4 linked regions of the Daphnia pulex genome follow. The protein of the gene in region 1 binds, or shares a complex with, the protein of each later gene. Links are inferred from orthologs where the notes say so. Each region holds a gene or a part of one and is shown in the gene's direction. Other genes may lie near its edges. The genes, in order: eukaryotic translation initiation factor 3 subunit A-like, eukaryotic translation initiation factor 3 subunit I-like, eukaryotic translation initiation factor 3 subunit J-like and eukaryotic translation initiation factor 3 subunit D-like.

Region 1 (4,374 bases):
CAGAAATAGAGGATGCTAAGAACAAAAGTTCCCCAGACAAACACCCTAACAAGCTAAAGACAAATCAATTCTCCAAGTATGGCATTCTATTCAAGATCAAACATTGGAACTAGTGGAATGCGAATGTGACGCTAACCATAAAAAACGAATTAAAACGAAAATAGCTAATATTTTAAGAAAATGATGAAAAAAATTTACCAAATTTTCATTAACACTATATTGCACAGAATTGGGTACAATGTTGTAATTACAGAATTCATCTTCCAGTTATTGCAAAGAGAATTATTTCATTTGTGTTATTGTTACTTTCATTAATTATCTTTTAGATTTACTGACCTGTCTGAACTTTCTGAACTGTCGTATCTATCTGAGCGCCGACGTTTCTTTTCATCATTGACGAGAGCCGATGTTATGAGTGACCGACGTTGTTGACCATCAAAATGTTCGTTAACAGACATTTCTCGAGTTTCACCACCACTAGTCAGTCGGATTGCTTCATACGCCCGTGAATTGCTTCTAGCCTCATCGGCCATCTTACTCTTTTTCTTCTTGTCAGAATCCGCTGTTTTCTTTGTTGTAGAGGCCGCTTGGTTGTCTAACGGCACGTTGCCCGTTGCCACACCATCCATTATTCGACTGGGTGACGATGGATGCAAGCTGCCACAAGCAGGGGTTTTCACGTTAGTAGTAGAAGAACTATCGTTTACATCGTTGTCTTTAACTTTGGATTGATACGAAAGAGTCACAATCTTTGCTGATTCCAACGCTGAATCTGCCATCTTGAATGACGCTAGGAAAAATCCTCTACCACGACTACACAAACCAGTCCCTATTTGACACTTCAGACTACACACACACACACACACACGCGATTTAAGGGTACCTCGACTATCCACAATGCCCACCCCACACAGAGAAAAAACTCCCAGCGTAGAGCACTCTAGCGGTCGAAAAGCGAATATTTTTAATATCTCGTTTCGTTCCTAACTTTAAATTGATTTAGTGTAAAGAGGAATAAGAAAAAAAACTTTGTGTGTCCATAAATTTTGCATTTTTTTATTAAGTAACAAAAATAACAAAATACTATATTGCTGTGTTTGAGTTTCCTGCAACTTCAAGCGACTTCAAGGCATCTGAGAAACAGGACTCCTGGTGTTATGTTGATAATTCCTCATAGAGGGCCTTGCTATCTTCCGGCGCTACTGTCGGAAAAGTTTTCAAGTATTTCCAATTGTTGATGAATTGCCTAAATATTGAAAGATTGCAATCATTATGTAAATAGAAAAGAATCATACAGAATTACAGATCTTATAAAAACAAACTGACCGTTGAATGCGTCCAGACCTGTTCTGTATCTGTAATCTGTATCCATTGTTTTTCAATTGGTCTACTATATTTTGATGGCCTTAAAGTTCTCAGTACACACCAGGGTTGCACGCATCTATTTTTTTACACTCGACCAAGTATTTTACATGTCTGGAATAATGGGACATTTTGCCAGAACCTGCCAGAACAAACCTGGTAAATTTGTTAACAAGAAAAACAAACAACCTAAGAAAAAACGCACAAGTTTTTTTCCTGTTTGGGGATGAAAATTAATGAAGATTAGAAAGAGAGCCCGACCATCTTTAATGTGAAAACATCCAAATATAAAACAAAAGGGTATTCTAAGGTGCAACATCATGGGTAGTGGTGGGCATCGACATTCGCAATTCGTAACAAGAAGCAAATATGTTACTAATTGCTGCTAATTGTGGAAAAAGTTGTTGAGAATTGTAAAATGGCAACGCAGAATAACCTAGGGACGATTTCTATCAAACACATTGCAGGGCCATGCGCTTTGTGGCCCGTAGCTGAAGTCAGCTTGAATAGTTAACCAGTTAACCAAACCCAACCACAGTTGTCTAAAAACTTGGACGGCCATTTTCTTGCCCCAGCCACGTTGCTTGAGCAATTGCCAGCGAAGAGAAGCGTTCTGATTGCTGATCGACGTGTTATGAGAATATAAAAATGTCGCGTTTCTATCAACGACCTGAAAATGCACTCAAAAGAGCAAATGGTCTGTATTTTGTTATTCACGAGTACTTTACTAATTACTACTCAAGTTGATTTCTTAAATGTTGTGTTCACCGGTTTATATCGCTCGCTTATTGACAAAATGCTGTTACTTCTGTTACAGAGTTCATTGAAGTGGGGAAACCTATTCGAGCCTTGGATGCCCTAGCTGAAGTTATTAAGAGCAAGAAATATCGGTCAACAACTTATTCAGAAAAAGTGCTAGAACCCATAATGATCAAATACTTGGAACTTTGTGTGGATTTGAAAAAGGCGTACATGGCTAAGGAAGGCTTGTTCCAATACCGTAACATGTGTCAATCTGTAAGGATTAACTTGTTTCATGTTTTCCTTCTAACAAACTCATGATGATTGTTGTTTATTTACAGGTAAATGTTGCATCATTAGAAAATGTTGTACGATTCTACCTTAATTTAGCTGAGGAAAAAACAGAAGCAGCACGTCAAGAATCCCATCAAGCTGTTGTGGATATTGATGATCTGGACAATGTTGCTACTCCTGAAAGTATACTTCTGAGGTAGTCAATTCATTGCATTTTTTTCTGGTTGATTATGTTATCATGATTTCTTTGTGCTCAGTGCTGTCAGTGGAGAAGATGCCCAAGACAGGTCTGACCGTGTGATTTTGACTCCATGGGTCAAATTTCTTTGGGAGTCATACAGACAGTGTTTAGAGTTGCTTCGAACTAATTCAAGGGTTGAGAAACTGTACCATGATACTGCTCAACATGCCTTCAAGTTTTGTCTGAAGTATGCTCGGAAAACCGAGTTTCGTAAGCTCTGCGAGAATCTAAGGTCTCATCTTGCTTTGATGGTAAGAAAATTATTTTTTAAATTATTATTTGTTTAGAAATGTGTTAAAAGACAATATTTATATCATAGGTGAAAGGAACCCCATCTGTAACTGCTGTTAATTTGAGTAATCCTGAGACTCAACAAATGAATTTGGAAACCAGACTCTTGCAACTTGATTTCGCCATTCAAATGGAGTTGTGGCAAGAAGCATATAAAGCCATTGAAGACATTCACGGATTAATGATATTGGCTAAGAAAATGCCCCGTCCTCAACAAATGGCTCAATACTATCAGAAAATTGCCCTCGTTTTCGGAAAGTCTGGAAATCATTTGTTCCACGCTGCAGCTCTGTTTCGGCTTTTCCAACTGTCACGGGACTTGAAAAAAAATATTACGACTGAAGAACTTCAAAAACTTGGATCGCGCGTACTTGTTGCAACTTTAGCAGTACCATTACCCTCTGCACACCCTGAATTTGATCGTTTCATTGAAACCGAGAAAAGTGCTATGGAAAAAACGCAAAAACTAGCTACTCTTCTTCATTTGAATCAGCCTCCTACACGTAATGGATTGATTAAAGATTTGGTTCGCCTTGGTGTGGTAGCTACTGCAATGCCTCAGTTGCAGCAGTTGTATCATTTCTTGGAGGTAGAGTTCGACCCATTACATTTATGTAACAAAGTCAAGAACATTCTAGCGTTTATGGCCGAAGTCGAAGAGACATCTTATTTGAACCAATATATTCATGCCTTGGAAGAAATCACGCTTACCAGATTGGTAAAGCAAATAGCCCAGCTCTACTCGACTATCCGATTCGAACGTTTGGTGCAATTGGCTCCCTTTGCATCTCCATTTGACTTGGAACGCATTGTTGTTAATGCAGTCCGTCATACCGATATGCAAATAAGGATTGATCACCGTAACAATTGTCTTCACTTCGGCACTGAATTATTTGAAGCTCAACGCGAAGATTTACCAGAAGGACCGACTCTACAGGTAGAAATGTTAAAAAGTCATGACCAATGAAATGTTAGCTTTATCTTTTTTTTGTGTTTTTTTTAATTCTTTCTGATTTTATAACTTTTCTAGGCTATGCCTTCTGAACAGATACGTACGCATTTGATTACAATGTACTGCGTTCTCAACAAAGCGACAATTGCTGTTGTTGGTAATGCTCCTACTAAAGAAGAAAGACAGTTGAAAGTCCAGATCGCTGCACTTTATCATCAAAATAAAGTAATTATAACTCCATTCGTTACGTTGTTAGCAATTTGTTTAATGTGATTATTTTAGGCTAGAGACCACCACCAACTTCTTAGCCGTCAAAAGATTATTGAAGATCGCAAGGAATACCTTGAAAAATTGAATACTGAACGTGAAGAAGAAGAAGGTCGTCGTCAGGAGGAGCTGATAAGGCAGCAGTTGCTAGCAGAACAACGCCGTCTTGAAGCTGAGCGACAAGAACGAGAGAGGCTTCGTCAAGAAGCAGAACTTCGCCAAGTTC
Region 2 (3,382 bases), on another chromosome or scaffold:
AAAGGGCTATATCTAAACTTCTAAGTTCAATAGATGAAGATTCTTCACACATTTTCTCAACATTGTGGGCCTCATCAAATATAACAATATTTCCCTAAACAAGCACAAAAAAAGAAGTTAATATTTCATGCACCTTTAAAGACTACTAAATGTACTGGGAATTACCTGGAGTTCAATGTTGTGAATTTTTCTCACTTTAGGATCAAGAAGGTAGTTGTATGGCATAAAGATGATGTCAGCTACCTTACGAATTTCTTTTGTCATAAAATAAGGGCAAGCAGAATGTTTTTTCCCCAAAGTCACCAAGTCTTCAATATCCAATACATCCATTTTGAAGTCTGGTTCCTCTTTCTTAGCATCTAGATTTGTGTGGAAGTAGCAAGTACGAGTAGTAGTTCTAGCATGGCACATGTGAAGCTTTACAGCATTGTTTGTTTCCTTTGACACTTCTGGATGAATGCACAGTTGGTCACGAGATCCAAGGATGCATACCTTAAATGAAGAAAAATAAAATAAGGGTTATCAAAACCCATTTCATGTAGGCAAATAGCTTTAATGGAAGAAGGAAATGCTCACCTTCATATATCTGTAAGAGGACCGTTTTAATTCAGAAATGACCTGGCTGAGCTGAGAATGAGTTCTGGATGCATAAATGATTTTGGGTACTCCAGCTCCAGGAGTAGCAGCATCTCCCCATCCAAGCCCAGTTGCATTACTTAATTGATTTTTAATATCCACTCCCATATCTCCAGCTAATTGACCAGACTGTATTTGTGCTTTTCGTGTTGCTAACCAACCCAATGTCGAACAAAGTAAGCACAAAGTTTTTCCTGTGCCAGTAGGAGATTCCAACAAACCATTTACACCCTATTTAATCAAGAATAACAAAATAAGAGCAAGGTGTCCACTGACCGATAACGCAACACTAGTTACTTTTTGAAGACATTCTATCACACGCTCCATGAATTTCTCTTGTACATCATAAGGCTGGAATGGAAATTCAATGGGAACATTATTTAAAACCAAATTCACCATTCTAGATAAATAATTTTGGTAATTGTGTTCCACGAGACACACGCAATGTGAAGGAACACGCAATGTGAGGGAACCCGCCAAAATAGTTGAATGAGAATAGCAGACGATGTTAAAACTGCTTTAACTTCCCTAGCGAGTAGCGCCCTCTGAAACAAATCGAAAAGTAAAATTATTTTTGCTAGTGTCATTTTAACGTTACGCGTGATTAAAGAATAAAAATTAATTTTTTTTTTTTTTGTATAAAGTTTAACAGTTTTGATAAGATTAAAGATGGTTCGTTTTTTGGTGGGTGGGTGGCAACACTGTAAAATCGAGCAGGGCCGGCAGACGAGTGTTGTAAAAACGTCGAAAGGCCTCAGTCGCCCCACGCCGAAAGAAGTGTACGTCATTATTACAGTTGTGACCAATTAATATAAACAAAAATGGTAATTTTCAGTGCATTTCTGTTATTTAATTTCATTATATTAATCCACTGTTATTGTTGATCACAGAAACCTCTTATGCTTCACGGTCACGAGCGTTCAATCACGCAAATTAAGTACAACCGGGATGGAGATTTGCTCTTCTCGTCAGCCAAGGACAACCACCCTTGTGTCTGGTATTCAGTCAATGGAGAACGATTGGGTACCTACGAGGGACATCAGGGTGTCGTATGGGCGATTGATGTTGATTGGGAAACTAAACGTTTCATGTCTGGTGCTGGTGATAATATGCTCATGATCTGGGATGTCCAAACTGGTATGTTCAGTGAGAAATGACCCCATTGCGTAATTACGACTTAAACTTTTCTTTGTTTTTTTTTAGGCAAGGCTTTGGGTAAAATTGAAGCCAAGACTTCAGTTCGTACATGCAACTTCAGTTACAGTGGAAACATGGCCCTTTACTCAACAGACAGTACTATGGGTAACCCTTCAGAGATCTTCATCATTGATGTCAGAACGGTTGACTCTTCCTTCAGTGAAAATGACCCCATCCTGCGAATTCCATTAACTAATGCCCCTAAAGCCACATCAATGGTTTGGGGTAATCTAGATGAGGTTGTTATTTCTGGTCACGACAATGGTGACTTGGCCCAATGGGACCTCAGGTGAGAATGACATTGTCGTAACCTTGAGTGCTTAAAACTAAATCCTGTTTATTATTTATACTACAGAACTGGCAAGAAGAACAACCTGGTTTCAGAACACGCCAAGTCTATCAACGACATGCAGCTGTCCAAAGACGGAGCTCTCCTCATCACTGCATCCAAGGATTGCACTGCAAAACTCTTTAACGCCGAAACGTTAGAGTGCCTAAAAACTTACAAAACTGAGCGACCCGTCAACAGTGCCGCCATCTCACCCATCATGGATCACGTATGATCCTTGAGCTTCTAAATGATTCAGTTGATCGATTCTAACTGTTTTCCTTCAATCTTCAGGTGGTGTTGGGAGGTGGTCAAGATGCCATGGACGTAACGACGACCTCAACGCGTGTCGGCAAGTTCGACGCCCGTTTCTTCCATCTGGTTTTCGAAGAAGAATTCGCTCGTGTCAAGGGCCATTTCGGTCCTATCAATTCTCTGGCCTTCCATCCCGACGGAAAGACGTACGCCAGTGGTGGTGAAGATGGTTACGTTCGTTTGAATCAATTCGACCAGTCTTACTTTGACTTTAAATTCGATTACTAAACCAGAAGAAAAGCGAAAAACCTACGAAGAACCCAATCCATCATCTATGAACACTTGTCTTGTGTTTATTTTTTGACCACTTTCGTGTACATGGGCGATATAAGAGAAGGTATTTGAATACATCATGTTGGAAAGGTCTCGAGTGAGAATCTTTTTTGGGGGGAAAATTTATTTCTCAAGAGAGGGCACGAGACGAAATTAAGCGTATACAAACAGGTTCGAGTCGCCTGTTTAAGAGGAGAAAACATAACTGATATTGTTTACAAACAATTCTTTTGAAATCTTTTTCTTCTGACGAAGTCCATTACAGGGTTTACGATATTCTAATCACCTACTGTTGCGCATCCCAAGAAAACTTGGCATTTTGCGAAGAGAAAGAGCTCATCAGTTTCCTTCTGGTAGAAGTTTTAATGGGAGACATTCTTGTCCCAGCTGAACGCATTGGAACTTATTACGACTCTAGCGTCTTGCCAACATGGTCGGGACTATCTCGAGCGACAAGGAATCATTGAGAAGCTCGCCGGTAATTTGGACGAGGCTCCTGCAGATCCTCTTGCCTCGCCTGCTCGTTCCCGGGCTTATGAAATTTATCGGTTCGCTGGCTCATTTTCAACCGGATGTATTAGCCAGATATCCGAACTTTACAAATACGATGTTCAACTTGATCGACGACTCCGA
Region 3 (3,237 bases), on another chromosome or scaffold:
ACAAGAAATCTATGATATGTTTAACTTACGCATCCAAATATAGTATAACATGCGGACAATTTTTTGAAATTCAAGTGGGATTTCCACATTGATGTCTTGATAGAAGCATGGTTGGACACAAAACTTGTCAGGCAGTGGTGGCCAATTATTGCGCTGAGCTGTAATGAAGAAGTAAATAACAGAAATTAAAAAGTAAAGTTTCATTTAAATTTGTTCTCTCCTACAGTTGAATGGTACATTATTCTTTAATTCTTCTTCTCGCCTCTGCAATTCTTGAGCTTTCTTCTCTAGTTCTTCTTGACGTCTCTATAAAACCATGCAATATAATGAATAAAGATTTCCTTCTTTCTTTTTAAGTTTTAATACTTGAAAATCCGCATTTGACATAGCTGCTTGTTGTTGTGGTCCTGGAGATATCACTGGGGCAGCTTGAATTGTTGGGGGTGGATTGGCTCCACCAACACGGTCCTTAAATTTTGTAACAAATCAAACACACTTCCCACTTTCATGATAAAATTATGTTTTACCATTGAAACTCTGGTAGTTTGATTACTACCATCAAAAGGGTTGTATTCTTCAAGACCTTGCTGAGCTCTCGCAGCATTGTTTCCTGCAGCTTGCTGGACAGATGGATCCTATTGTGAAAGTAAACAACCACTTTACCACTAAACTAATAAACAAGGTGATTTTTCAAAAGGTTTTCTTTCATATTGTATGCGGCGAGTACTCCATGAATCACCAGTTTTCAACCAAGGTATTAGTATGGTAATAGTAAGTATAATATACATATTATAAATAATCTACCGCAAACGGGTTGAAAACAGCCGGTTCTGCAAAAGGATTCTGATCAAATCCAGACATTATCAAATATTTCTTTTTTTAACTTCGGTCACTTTGTTACTCCAATTTGCGGTAACTTTTGTTTCGACGGTCACCGTGAAACGTCAACTCAACTAATACAGACAGAAACTCCTATCAATTGCTAAATAACAGGTAATGTCAGAGAAAAGCAGTTCGGAAACAGGCAAACACTAGCGCCTCTGGAAGACAGAAACACTAGACTAAGCAACGCTGGGATTAACGAGATATCTCAGGTAAAAAAAATTAAATAATTCATAATAAAAGGTTTGCAATAAAGTTTCAAAATTTAATTATTGTTAGGTTTCTATATTTAATATTTTGTAATGCACATATTAACATTATTAGAAAAGTGAAAGCATTTGGCAACTGCCATGGACACTAGTGTGTTCACGATTTTTCGTTGAAGATGGAGGCCGAGGCGGATTGGGGTGATTTTATTTAATTATTTCTATATTAAGTTATTCAATTCCACCTGTTTTTTGTATGAAATTCTCAATAGTGCATATCAAAGTTCCATTTAATCGTATACTCTAATCAAATACGATTTTGTGGTGATTATAGATGCCGAAGATTTTGAACCCTCTGTCCCTGTTCCAGTTACGACTGCCATAATTTCAGATAAATGGGAAGGTGAGGATGAAGATGAACCTGTCAAGGTGAGTTGTAATTCAATTGTGATGATATTAGTAGTAAGTATATCTACAAATTTGGTAGAACCTTGTAGCGCTTGTAGTGAAAAAAAGTTCTCTCAGTACCTTTCTATTTCTGCTCCAATTCTTACAACTTTCACTTGACTACCATGTGTCTTCTTTTGCCAAAAAATTCTTATTGCTCAATGAGTTTTACATAAAGTTGTGATTGATTTCAAAATTATCATTTTTTCTTGTTTATAAATGATAGGATAGCTGGGAAGATGAAGAAACAGAAAATAAGCCTGCTGAAGTCAAAGCAGCAGCCACAGTAAGTACATGTGATCTCTCGTAAAAGTATCCAAAAAATTTAAAATGTGTTTGTTACTTTCAGGCTACCAAAAAAAAGTCAAGTAAAAGATTAGAAGAAAAAATAGCCGAAAAAGAAAAGAAAAGCAGAGAAGAAGCTGAAGCCAGAAAAATATTGCAGGAAGCAAACATGACACCTGAAGAGAGAATAGCAGAAAAGCTTCGGAGACAAAAACTAGTTGAAGAATCAGATTTTGAAATGGCCAAGGAAACCTTTGGTAAGTTGTCTTAGGAAACTGTATTGCTGACCTGCACTAAGCATGATTTGTTTTATATTTTGTTCTCAATGTTATTTTTATTTTCCAGGAATTACTGGTAGTTTGCCTACAGAGGGAAGCATAGATGAAGCAAACCCTTCATCTAAAGAGGAATTCTCAGAATTCAAGAACAACTTGGTGAAAAAACTTCAGTCATTGTCAACTAAAGCGTGCTATAATGATTTTATAGAGGACTTCATTAAAGATGTTTGCATTGGATGTAAGTCACATTTTCTAATGTTGGTTGCTAAAAACTTTTCTACATCCCAGTTTTTCAACATAGTGGAAGTCGAAGTCCTTAGAAAAGTTAGTCTAACTACCAAATCCTTGCACGAAGAAAAACTCAAGATGGTGAAGGCGGCGACAAAAGGTGGAAAGAAAGGAAAAACAAAAGTTGCTTTAAAAATGGACAAAGGAATGGTCGACAACTTCGGTGATGATTTCGGAGGAGGAGACTATGACGACTTCATGTAGGGTCCAATTGTTTTTCTTTTGTTTTTGGCGGGAAAAGGTTTATTGGTAAAATAAATGTATGATTTTGCCATTTTGCTCTTGTCAGTTTTTTCAGTGTTTTAAGATATATTGAGATTGAATTTCTGTTAAAAGTTAAAACCTCCCTCTTAATTATTCTAATTCAATATATAGAGTTAAGTTGCATATTTTCTTAGACGTTCCAGTTTTCTACTTTTAGCGTCAAAAAAGGAGATGGTGACAGTTGTAAAGTTAGATGTAGTTAGATGTATTTGTCCCATTGAATGCTACACACTGTCAAAAGTAAGCAAATAACTTTCAATATTTATTTTTTTAAATTTGAGTTTTGAGTACCCCGCAAATTTGTATACTGGTGAATCCTTATTTGATACCCAGTGGGCGTAAGAGAGGGGATTAGGGGGGTTTTGTTTTTAAAATGTAATGGAAATCGTTGCCGTGGCAGCCGGCTGCATGCCTAATCAATAAATGAAGCACGTGCGTTTCCTGCTGAGTAGCAGACTAGTAGTGGCATAAAAGTGGTTGTTTGGTCGATACTTCTAACTCGTTATATGGCGTTTCACTGTGAGAAAGTTCGTTAATGAATTTCTGGAGTGATAGAGCACAAGTTGAGCAAGAAAATGGAACTAAAA
Region 4 (3,960 bases), on another chromosome or scaffold:
TCTAGGAATCCCAGTTAAATATGGTTCTGGAGCAGGATCAAAACTAAACCAAGCAGTGTTGGGTGCTGGTGCAGTTTCTTCCTTGAATTTGAACTACTCCGATGCTGGTCTATTTGGGTTCGTGGCCGCTGCCCCAGCCTCAGATGCCGGCAAAGTTGTTTCCGCCGCTACAAAAGTTTTGCGATCAGCTTCAGTCAACGAAAGCCAATTGAGCCGTGCAAAAGCCCAACTTAAAGCCGACTTGTTGATGGCCAAAGAGAACACTGGTGTGTTAGTTGAAGAGTTGGCTCTGCAAGCGCTTCTCAACCGGGCTGATCTTCTTTCTACTGTCGATAATGTTTCAATTGCTGACGTCAACGCTGTAGCTTCCCGGTTGGCTTCTGCCAAGCTAACTGTCGCTGCCATTGGAAACCTGAGCAACGTCCCGTTTGTCGATGAATTATAAAATTTTGAATAGGTCTCTGAATTATAATGTAGTCTATATCTATATTTGCACAGTGGCCCATTAGAAAATATCCAGATCGAACGGTTAATCATTCTTAAGAGCTGAAAGAATACACGTGCCCTGTACAGAATATCCACAGTTTCTCTAATCACTCTAATACTGAAAAATCTTACCTCACAATTCCTCTTTATGTTCCTCTTTCGCAAAATTAAGATTGATACGTCATTCATTTAAAAAACGAAGATACATGGAGGAGAAAGTAATGATTCTCTACTCTCGAAAGAAAATTTGTGCTATCTTCGAAAAGACAACAATAATATGTAATTAAAAAACATTTCTCTCTAGTGGGCTTACTTATATTTTAATGAAGTGTGGGGTTTCCGTGATCTTACGTTCAATCTGGTGTAACTTTCTAAAGTAATGTAACATATTTCTTCATCTGAGTCTGAGCTTGACTCTGGAGGGATTTTATAAAAAACACCATATTCCAGATCAGAATACATTTAGTCATTTAGTATTCTGGCCATTTTTTTATTATATTTTTTGTATTTTTTAGCTGATTTAAGATTTTCATACTTCAGTATCTTATTATAATTGCGTCTAAATTAAAAATTTGTGATTGAAATTAAAGATATGCTAATTCGGAATTATTAGGAAAACAGTGGAAAAAAGTAAAGCGGCAGAAAGGTATAAACATCATTTTCAACAATGGCAACAGTGGTATACGTAGCATCCGGTACTAAAATGGCGATTACCATGTTCTAACTTGTAGCAAGCTGTCAGCCAGCCGGTCTAGTGAGAAAGTGCCTACGACTAAATTCTGAAAAGTTATTTTCATAAGGTCACGTTAAATTGTATAACATGGCGGCGCATTTTGTTCCACCAGCGACTCAAGACAATAATGACGGATGGGGACCTTTAGGTATTCCCGACCGCTACAAAGATATGCCATATCAACCATTCTCGAAGGTAACGTTTCATTGCCGAATTTTGTATTAACTTCTTCTGATGTTTTGTTTAATTTATTAGATGTCGGAATGGGCTGGTGGAAGCAGCATCAATTATTCCTTTACAGACCGCAAGTATGGTGGTGGAAAATACTCTGGAGGGGCTGGTGGAAGCCAGTATGCTTATCTGCATGATGAGGAAGAGAACAGCTTTCAGCTTGTGGATACTGCAAGGACTCCAAGACCAATGTATGCTAGAGGAAGATTCCTTCGCAACCAACGGCTTGCAAGAGGCAGACAAAACTTTAGGAATTCTCAGCCTGTGCCACTTAAAGGTAAAGTGTTCAAATAGCAATTAATAGCAACAGATTGTTTATACATTTTCTTTGAAGGTGGCAAGATGAAGGATAACCGAATGAGACAGACTAGGAACAAGTGGAATAATAGAGGACCTCGTCAAGTAAAGCTTCTCACCTTACCGATTATTCAGTCTCATACTCATTTTTTAAAAACTTGTAGGGCCAAATTCAGGTTAAAAACCGTGAATCATCAGTTATTGTTCAGCCTTCATGGAAAATCATTGAAGAGATGGATTTCCCCAGGCTCAACAAACTTTCTCTGCGTCTTAGCAAGGAAGCTTCTGATTTGTAATCAACTATTTAAACTAAAACCTTTCACATGCTGATTTTAAAATAATGATATTATTTTATTTTTCCAGACTTACTTGTGGTGAACTCGAGTTTTATGATAAGCAGTACGACCGCGTAACTGTGAAAAATGAACGAAGACTGCAAAGAATTGATCGTATTTTTCACAAGGTCACCACAACTGATGACCCCATTATCCGCAAAGTAAGAAACAGTAGTCACATTCAAGTCTTACGCGTGGTAGTATGCTAATTCTCAAATTCATTAGTTGGCAAAAACTGAGGGTAATGTCTACGCAACTGATTCCATCTTGGCTACTTTGATGTGCAGTATTCGCTCCAACTATAGTTGGGACATAATCGTCCAGAAAGTTGGTGGCAAACTGTTTTTTGATAAACGTGATGATTCGGAATTTGGTACGTACCTTTTGGCCACTGAGGGAGTTTGCAATGATCTATAATCTTCCCTTTTCCCTAGATCTGCTAACTGTATCCGAAACATCCAATGAACCTCCTCAAGAAGAGGGCATCAATAGCCCACGTAATTTGGCACTAGAAGCGACCTTTATTAATCATAATTTATCCCAACAAGTCCTGAAGATGGTATTTATAATAGGTTTTATAAAATGGCATAAATCCCTAATTTTGTCGTTTCATAATCTTGTAGGGAGAAGAAAAATTCAAATTGGATGAGCCTAATCCCTTCATTTCGGAAGATGAAGTAGGTGAAGTTGCCTCGGTGGCTTACCGTTACCGTAAATGGGATTTAGATGGGGGTGTTGTTCTGGTGGCACGTTGCGAACATGACGCTGTCACCGTTGGATCGGCTGGTGATAACCAATTTATCAACATCAAAGCTCTTAATGAATGGGACTCAAGGGTATGCATATTCACTGTTCGTAATGAAACTGTGTCTTTAAAATGATTTTGTACTTCAAGTTGTCTGGTGGAGTCGAATGGCGCCAGAAACTGGACACTCAGCGAGGTGCTGTTCTGGCCAACGAGCTGAAGAATAATGCATGCAAGCTAGCAAAATGGACTGTGCAAGCTCTGCTCGCCAACTCTGATTGGATTAAATTCGGGTATGTGAAGACTCCTGTTGTCCCTCGAATATTATTGTAACTAATATTGTTTACTTCAGATATGTTTCCCGTATGCACTTACGAGATACATCGCGTCATGTAATCCTTGGAACACAGCAGTTCCGCCCGTCAGATTTCGCATCGCAAATCAACCTTAACATGGACAATGCTTGGGGCATTCTCCGTTGTATTATTGATTTGTGTATGAAGGAAGAGGATGGCAAATATTTGTTGGTGAAGGATCCTAACAAGCCCGTCATCCGCCTTTACAAGGTGCCCGATAACACGTTTGAGAGCGACGATGAAGCATTTTTCGAAGAAGGCGAAGGTTTGTAACCAATCAATATCGTAACGTGCGTGTGTAACTGCTGGCTTGCTTTTTTTGCTTGGGTGTTGGCCTCCCTTTTTTTTTTACTAGCAAAGATTAAATAAACACGTCCAAGCAGTTAATCAAATTTCCCTGCATTTGTACGCCGTGTTACGTTTTGCTTGAATTCGTAGCTCGAGCTTTGTATATATGTATAATATCTAACCACTAGTGGAAGTGCTTGGCTTCTTGGGGGAAAAAAACCTAATTAGATACGCGACATGACTTAAGGTAGCTTTAAAAAAGGCGCTATTAAACGCATGATTTCATAACGTCAACCACGAAATGGTAAATAATAATGTATTTATTTTTTACACATGAATAGAAGACGAGTAACGGCTGATACAAACAAAAGAACAGCTCTTCCACCAATTCCCCAATCTACAACAGTACTACGTTTGTAATGATCGTTACATGGAATAAAGCACTTATGAAGCTTCCAGTTTACTTATACAGCTTTACTTTGTTTGATT

Evidence for each region.
Region 2: eukaryotic translation initiation factor 3 subunit A-like (region 1) and eukaryotic translation initiation factor 3 subunit I-like share a complex: the UniProt entries of both Drosophila melanogaster proteins name them as parts of the eukaryotic translation initiation factor 3 (eIF-3) complex. The link is inferred for Daphnia pulex from reciprocal best matches to the Drosophila melanogaster genes eIF3a and eIF3i.
Region 3: eukaryotic translation initiation factor 3 subunit A-like (region 1) and eukaryotic translation initiation factor 3 subunit J-like share a complex: the UniProt entries of both Drosophila melanogaster proteins name them as parts of the eukaryotic translation initiation factor 3 (eIF-3) complex. The link is inferred for Daphnia pulex from reciprocal best matches to the Drosophila melanogaster genes eIF3a and eIF3j.
Region 4: eukaryotic translation initiation factor 3 subunit A-like (region 1) and eukaryotic translation initiation factor 3 subunit D-like share a complex: the UniProt entries of both Drosophila melanogaster proteins name them as parts of the eukaryotic translation initiation factor 3 (eIF-3) complex. The link is inferred for Daphnia pulex from reciprocal best matches to the Drosophila melanogaster genes eIF3a and eIF3d1.

What each region holds. Positions count from the first base shown.
Region 1 is NC_060026.1:6,108,705-6,113,078, forward strand, and holds the start of eukaryotic translation initiation factor 3 subunit A-like, read left to right. Parts: upstream 1-1,568; 5' UTR 1,569-2,010; coding exon 2,011-2,059; intron 2,060-2,179; coding exon 2,180-2,379; intron 2,380-2,444; coding exon 2,445-2,593; intron 2,594-2,654; coding exon 2,655-2,889; intron 2,890-2,957; coding exon 2,958-3,866; intron 3,867-3,959; coding exon 3,960-4,106; intron 4,107-4,163; coding exon 4,164-4,374. Other genes in the region: zinc finger protein jing-like, read right to left, coding at 337-779. UniProt on the Drosophila melanogaster protein: RNA-binding component of the eukaryotic translation initiation factor 3 (eIF-3) complex, which is involved in protein synthesis of a specialized repertoire of mRNAs and, together with other initiation factors, stimulates binding of mRNA and methionyl-tRNAi to the 40S ribosome.
Region 2 is NC_060019.1:6,193,252-6,196,633, reverse strand, and holds eukaryotic translation initiation factor 3 subunit I-like, read left to right. Parts: upstream 1-1,310; 5' UTR 1,311-1,457; coding exon 1,458-1,460; intron 1,461-1,526; coding exon 1,527-1,773; intron 1,774-1,839; coding exon 1,840-2,122; intron 2,123-2,188; coding exon 2,189-2,390; intron 2,391-2,455; coding exon 2,456-2,704; 3' UTR 2,705-2,842; downstream 2,843-3,382. Other genes in the region: regulator of telomere elongation helicase 1 homolog, read right to left, coding at 1-94, 166-492, 577-867, 934-1,035. UniProt on the Drosophila melanogaster protein: Component of the eukaryotic translation initiation factor 3 (eIF-3) complex, which is involved in protein synthesis of a specialized repertoire of mRNAs and, together with other initiation factors, stimulates binding of mRNA and methionyl-tRNAi to the 40S ribosome.
Region 3 is NC_060019.1:7,843,318-7,846,554, reverse strand, and holds eukaryotic translation initiation factor 3 subunit J-like, read left to right. Parts: upstream 1-1,202; 5' UTR 1,203-1,267; coding exon 1,268-1,289; intron 1,290-1,422; coding exon 1,423-1,517; intron 1,518-1,761; coding exon 1,762-1,821; intron 1,822-1,884; coding exon 1,885-2,077; intron 2,078-2,165; coding exon 2,166-2,336; intron 2,337-2,399; coding exon 2,400-2,590; 3' UTR 2,591-2,664; downstream 2,665-3,237. Other genes in the region: secretory carrier-associated membrane protein 2-like, read right to left, coding at 30-158, 225-306, 367-468, 528-635, 805-861; coiled-coil domain-containing protein 39-like, read left to right, coding at 3,226-3,237. UniProt on the Drosophila melanogaster protein: Component of the eukaryotic translation initiation factor 3 (eIF-3) complex, which is involved in protein synthesis of a specialized repertoire of mRNAs and, together with other initiation factors, stimulates binding of mRNA and methionyl-tRNAi to the 40S ribosome.
Region 4 is NC_060023.1:3,616,111-3,620,070, reverse strand, and holds eukaryotic translation initiation factor 3 subunit D-like, read left to right. Parts: upstream 1-1,160; 5' UTR 1,161-1,306; coding exon 1,307-1,414; intron 1,415-1,474; coding exon 1,475-1,727; intron 1,728-1,784; coding exon 1,785-1,852; intron 1,853-1,911; coding exon 1,912-2,039; intron 2,040-2,110; coding exon 2,111-2,243; intron 2,244-2,307; coding exon 2,308-2,455; intron 2,456-2,516; coding exon 2,517-2,641; intron 2,642-2,705; coding exon 2,706-2,918; intron 2,919-2,977; coding exon 2,978-3,120; intron 3,121-3,179; coding exon 3,180-3,448; intron 3,449-3,770; exon of another isoform or gene 3,771-3,812; coding exon 3,813-3,823; 3' UTR 3,824-3,934; downstream 3,935-3,960. Other genes in the region: cytochrome b-c1 complex subunit 2, mitochondrial-like, read left to right, coding at 6-445; L-allo-threonine aldolase-like, read right to left, coding at 3,936-3,960. UniProt on the Drosophila melanogaster protein: mRNA cap-binding component of the eukaryotic translation initiation factor 3 (eIF-3) complex, which is involved in protein synthesis of a specialized repertoire of mRNAs and, together with other initiation factors, stimulates binding of mRNA and methionyl-tRNAi to the 40S ribosome.